2 linked regions of the Oryzias latipes genome follow. Each later gene encodes a partner of the first gene's protein in a complex. Links are inferred from orthologs where the notes say so. Each region holds a gene or a part of one and is shown on either strand. Other genes may lie near its edges.

Region 1 (2,396 bases):
AAAACATTTTTACTGTGGCAATTAAAGAATCCAGATGAAATTATGGTTAAAATGCCTTGATCTAATCTGGATCCTCTACTTGCCACAGTATAAAAGTTTGGTGGTAGATAGAATGAAATATTCATTTTTACATCAAATGTATTTTTGGTGATTAACCGATTAGGCGGTTATTTATTCACCAAATAGGATTATCATCCAAGAAAGTACTGATTGAAGTTCTTATAGTTTTTATGAAGCTTCTTTTTATTCAGGCAATGTCTATGCCTGCCTGCATGTGTTGACTGGATGACTAAATGAAACTCATTTTGAAGGAGTTATCCCTTCCATTTGTTTGAATCTAGTTGCTTCACTATTTCTTTTATTCTTAAGACGATCAAAGTTATTTTAAGGTTCAACTAATAAACCAGAAATATTGTGTAATCTTGTTTTTGTAGGTGCGCAATGTTGACATCCCCATGCTGGACCCTTATAGGGAGGAGATGATGGACAAAAACTTCAGTACCTTCAGCTTTGGAGGCCACCTAAACTTTGAAGCTTTTGTCCAGTATCAGGAGTATGGCTTCTTCACAAAAGCCATGGATACGCTCCGCGGCATGAAGCTGATGCTGAAAGGAGAGGATGGAAAGGCAGTGGCCTGCAACATCAAGGTACTCTATCTTCAAATGTAGAGAACTTCTTTACCCTACAATCATGAGCACACTTTAAATGAGCTACTTTGGCTTCAGCTCTTTTATTTTCTGCTAAATATTTGTAAATCACTGCGCATCATAGAATGGAATTGTCCTATTTTGAGAGTCTGGTGTTAGAGGCTGTCCTCTTTACCCAGAAGGGTTGAGAAACCCCCCTAATGGCTACTTCATGTACACATTTATAGCTAATTTCATGTCTATTGTACTTAAACACAACTTAGTGGGTGTTTTCACCTCCATGTAAGCAAATAAATGACTGAAAGGCTTTTCTTTTTGGAGTTTTTAAATGATATGAAGGACTTATCACCTAAGCTCCATAAATATCTAAAAGTCTACGATACCGTAAATCATTTTTGAGTGAAAGTCTTGGTTTTACTTCAAAAGCTGTTTATTTTTAATGATTCCTTATTTTGTGACATGACTGATTAAATGCAGCTCTTGCAGTGATGATGAACATTTGCAGGCTGAATCAAAGAGATTGTTCTGGTCTGAGTGACAGAGTAGCTTAAGACCTTTCACTGCCATCAGAATGAAAGCTGTGTCATCAGTATCTCTGAGGTTCTGCTGGCGGCAGACTGAAGTGGTTTAATCCAGAGACTAAAGCTGTGGGATTTAAACTGATGTAAGACCCCAGAAAAGGCAACTTTGATTACAGATAATGAAATGCATATATTTGTTTTCAAATGCCAAAGTTTGAATGTTCTTGGTCTCATACTTCAACATTTCATCAAGGCGGACATCTTTTAGTTTCTTGCAGGTACCGGTACATAAATGCCCAAAACTCCTCGGTTAGCAAACACACAACAGTCATATTTATCGTTAAATGATGTTAAATGTGGTTTTTATTCCTTTCAGGTGACGTTCGACACCAGCAAACACCTTAGTGACGCGGCCATTAAGAAGAGGAACCTGGAGCGGCTGAAGCTGCAGGAGCTGGAGAAGCAGAGAGAGGAGCAGAAACGACGAGAGAAAGAAGAGGAGGAGAGGCGAAAGGAGGAAGAGAGGTATGGTAAAAAACAGGGGAATGGTCAGTTCATCTAGACTGGTGAGGCTTCAGTATGGCCACATTAAACACAAAAGTAAATGAATTCACATGCAACCTTATGTCAAAAAATGTATTTGCATTTCTTCCTTCTGCTTTTTTTTAATTTTAATTTTAAGAAAATATTTACCCTCATCTTCTCCTGAACAGGAACAGGAAATTGTAGTTTTTCTTTTCCCTCTTAGAATTCAGTCTACTTTCACCAAAAACAGGGTTATATCCGTGTCACTGATTGCTTTTTCAGGAAACTGAAAAAGATGGAGGAGGAGGAAAAGGAGAGAAAAAGAGAAGAGAGGATAAGGAAGCGGGAGCAAAAGCTACGGGAGAAGGAGGAAAGGAGGAATGTGAAGAAGGTCAGGCGGCAGCAGGAGGAGGAGCAGAAGAAGCTGCAGATGAAGATCGCGATGGAGGAGAGGAGGCTGCTGCTGGCTCAGCGCAACCTGGAATCCTTACGTCTCGTTGCTGAGCTGCTGGCCAGAGCCAAGGTATGAAACTCGCACAGGTTTTCCCCCTCCGGAGTTTCACAGCCCTTGTTTTGACAGCACAGATGGTTTTCTTTATGTCTCGTCCTTCCCTTCAGACACTCAAACAGCATCAGGAGGAAAAAGAAAAGGCGGAACGAGAGAAGCAAGAGCGACAGGAGCAGGCCAGACAAAAGGAGGAAT
Region 2 (3,760 bases), on another chromosome or scaffold:
AATAACTGGAGAATAACATGGAATAGACACACTTTGACACAACTGCAAAAGTAATATCAATGTATTTTACAAATATTTTTCAGCCTTTTCATAAACTAAAATTTGGGTGTATATCTTTAGAAAGCAACATTGACAGAATTATTTGACTGTGCTTTAATAAAAAGGGAAATTAACTACACACCCCCCCCAAAAAAAACAAAAAACTATTTACCAGTACATAAACTTATATATATATATATAAAGAACTAGTCCACAGGAAATCTACCAAAAAAATATTCATCCTGTCTCAAGAGGTGAAAACAGCTATGATTAAAAACAAGAAGTTCATAAATGAAGTTTTTTATTTTTTACACTGGTAAGTACCTGGGTTAATGATGGAGTCCTCTTCACTGAAGGTGACTCTGGAGTTTCTGCGTTTCCTTTTAGGTCTTTGGATTTCCAGGTTGCCTTCTTCAATGGTCAATAGCGAGATGCGCTTGTTGTGAGCTGTGTTGAACTCTGTCAGATTCTGACAGGATTCAGAAACCACAAACATTTGTAAGGCGGCTACAACATTTCAACCAACCGGTAGACGGGATTAAAGGATTCATAAGTGGGAAAAAACATAGTAGTATTCTGAAACTAAACCTTGCCACTACTTACTTTTACTTTTACTTTGACCATGCACACATGGTCAAAGTAAAATATGCAGGTCTATTTGTATAAAAGCAAACAAGCAAATCTTAAACTTTAGTAGTTTGACAAATTTAGCCAGAGTTCAAGAATCAACAGGCAAAAAGACTGGAATAAACAGAGATGAAAACAAGATTGATCAGAAAACATAACGTACATCTAACTCTGTTTCTTCTTCTGGAAGACCTAGAAGTCCTTTGAGCTCCTCGTCATCTCCCGTCTTATTGTCTCCTGTGCTAGTGCTGCCTTGGGTTTGGGGTTTCTCTCTGATGATATACGTTCGCGTGGAAGCCCCAAAAGCTAAAGTGGAGTCTATAGGAACCTGCTGAGGCTTGTGGGCCTCGAGGCGGATGTGTCCAAGGAAAGTACCATGTGCTGAAAGGGTAACAATCAAATAAGGTTTCCCAAAAGAATAAAATAAAGAGGTAACGCAACACTGTCATAACAATGAAACAATACTACAACAAAACAAGATGCAATTTTTACCACCACCGTACACTCCAACTCTTTTAGCAATTGGGAAAGATATTTGCTTTAAAGTCAGAAAGTTGATCAAATCTAAATTTTTCAGTGATACGATCCGTGATTTCATCACAACACATGAAATACAAACAAACAAAATGTGTATGGATGTTGAAGCTGTGGTGATCCTTTTAACTCTATTCATATGATTTAATATTCGTAAATGTATCAAACGTGATGGCAGAATGTATTCAATTCCTAAATGATTAAAATGCTTCAGTATTGCATTCTGCTTTGTGTACCGTTTCTTTCTTCCAACAATATAAATCAAATACAAAGGTAGGACTAAAAGCGATCCCTTACTGCTGTTGAGGTCTATAAGGAAGAGTCTTTTTAGGTGTTTGTGGTAGACTAAGGCAGCATGAACACGGGAACATGACTGATGGTCGATGGTGAAGTCACACCAGTCGGGGTTCCTCCCAAAAAGGTAAAACTTCTTCTCATCAATAATCAATTTCTATAGAAAAGAGAGAATGTTTTTTCTGTCAGTCACACATAAAGTATGGCTTCAACAGTACAGGTGTACCTCTGAGTCATAACTCATCAGTGTCGCTTCCACTGATCAGCTTAAACCTCACGGCTGATTTTGCTGTAGCACCGTTGGAAGCCATGCAGCCACAGACCTGTCCTGATGTTCAAACATCAGGGACAGAGCAGACTGTCAGGCTCGTGTATGGGTGCATGTATGGACTTACACGATACATGATTTAACAACAGTAAGGCACAAAAGCAGAATAAGCAGTCATATTACTGCATAACAGGACCAACATCTGCACATTTTCATTCAATTATTACCTCTATCAGTTTGTCTCCCTTCATTACGTCAAGATGAAGCCCCGTGGGGGGTTTGCCTGCCCTGTAAACAGACGATCAACTACTGTCAATATTTAGGGAAAACAAACAAACATGGATCATGCACAAATTAATGTTACAATAAATGAATTCAAATGTCTTTTACATGTTTCTCTCCGCGCTAGCTATTTCAAGAATAAATATTTTAAAGATAAATATTTTCCACATTTATAATAATAATTATTTTTAATTGATCTGGACGTGAATTCTACTCATACAAAGAACACGGCTTTCCCCGTTCGAATAAATAATTTCTAGCCCTTCTGGTTAATTGACGCCAACAACGCTAAGGGTTACCATGCTAACCTAGCTAATGTTAGCAACTGCAACTACAGACTTCTACTTAGCATTAAAAGGCACAAATGAACAGGTCAAATAGCTTTGCAAATGCACATCCAGCAACGCGTTACAAATTTCTAGTTTGTTCTGCAATAAGTAAGTTTTCTCACCATGATGGACAATCAAAAGGCGGAGGACCGTCTTTGCCTGTTTTAGTCGCCATCTTGCTTTAGCATATTGCAACCAAAATGCATGCTGGGTAAACAAAACATTGGGATGTCGGGAGTTGTCGTTCAGAGATAATAATGATAGTAAGAGTAATAATATTAATAATAATTTTACCATATTGCAATATTCGTCAGATTTGTACAGGATACAGGGAATTATTCTTTTTTAGTAAAACTTTTGAAATAGTTTTTTTTTTTTTTTGGCAAATGATCTTCACTTAAAACTTAATTGCACTGTAAGATTTATTAACAAAAAAAGTTCAATTTTGATTTACTTGTGTTAAATCCATTCATAGAAAATGTAATATTTTAATTAAAAATATACAGATTAATTTTAATAATAATGTCATTAATTTTAATTTCACAACAGTCCTGTAATGGGACTCAGAAAAAGTTATAAAAAATATTTGATGACAAAAATGACTTTTTTTGTTAGCTTTTCTCTTTTCTCTTCATGGTTTACACAGCAGAACCCTCGACCACATGCCTCCCCATCTATCCCATAGGAAAGATGTTCTTCTTACTACAGTACTGACCAAAAGTTTGGACACACCTTCTCATTCAAATGAATGGGAAGGTTTGTCCAAACGTTTGGTCTGTACTGTATGTTTAATGTTTCTTTTCAAGATGATGAGTGGTTTGGGAGTAACTTTTAAATACTTAACTAATGAAAAACATTATCATATTATATTTTGAAAAACAAACAAACAAAAACAGTTATAATTCAAGTAATTTTTTATTTGATTTGCATGTTTCTTTGTAAAGCTGCCTAATAAACATGAAGAATTCAATTACAAAAGACCACTAGAGGTCTCTAAACTCTTAATTTGAAAATGGAAACATTTTCTTGGAAATAAATGATTGGTCAACATGTGTGGGATTCTGTGTTGGGGGGCTTGAAGTTGTGTCTGTATCTATTTCTGCTTGTGAGTGGGTGAACTCCTTCTGGTTTTTGCTTTTTTGGTCAGGCCTGAGGTGGGTGGAAGGGGGGGGGGGGTTACCTCAAATTAACTGACTCTCTTGGATCCATTTAGAGTTCTATGTTTTAAATAAAAAAATATGTTCAGCGTTGACCTCTGTTAGTCAGCTGGAGATGGTAAAAGTTTTGTTTACAGATGGCATAAAGTGTAAAGCTGAAGCAGAAGTGAACTTTCAGAAAGGATGATAGACATTTTCAGAAAAGCGCTGTGAGCTGGATCCATAAAGAG

The links. Proteins that work in one complex are often made in the same cells at the same time.
Region 2: akap17a (region 1) and ppp1r8 share a complex: the UniProt entries of both Homo sapiens proteins name them as parts of the spliceosome. The link is inferred for Oryzias latipes from reciprocal best matches to the Homo sapiens genes AKAP17A and PPP1R8.

What each region holds. Positions count from the first base shown.
Region 1 is NC_019879.2:18,190,383-18,192,778, forward strand, and holds part of akap17a (A-kinase anchor protein 17A), read left to right. Parts: intron 1-434; coding exon 435-647; intron 648-1,544; coding exon 1,545-1,693; intron 1,694-1,975; coding exon 1,976-2,216; intron 2,217-2,311; coding exon 2,312-2,396. UniProt on the Homo sapiens protein: Splice factor regulating alternative splice site selection for certain mRNA precursors. Mediates regulation of pre-mRNA splicing in a PKA-dependent manner.
Region 2 is NC_019874.2:22,802,853-22,806,612, forward strand, and holds the start of ppp1r8 (nuclear inhibitor of protein phosphatase 1), read right to left. Parts: upstream 2,596-3,760; 5' UTR 2,549-2,595; coding exon 2,496-2,548; intron 2,051-2,495; coding exon 1,990-2,050; intron 1,878-1,989; exon of another isoform or gene 1,739-1,877; coding exon of another isoform or gene 1,721-1,738; exon of another isoform or gene 1,713-1,720; intron 1,652-1,712; coding exon 1,498-1,651; intron 1,048-1,497; coding exon 830-1,047; intron 509-829; coding exon 364-508; intron 1-363. UniProt on the Homo sapiens protein: Inhibitor subunit of the major nuclear protein phosphatase-1 (PP-1). It has RNA-binding activity but does not cleave RNA and may target PP-1 to RNA-associated substrates. May also be involved in pre-mRNA splicing.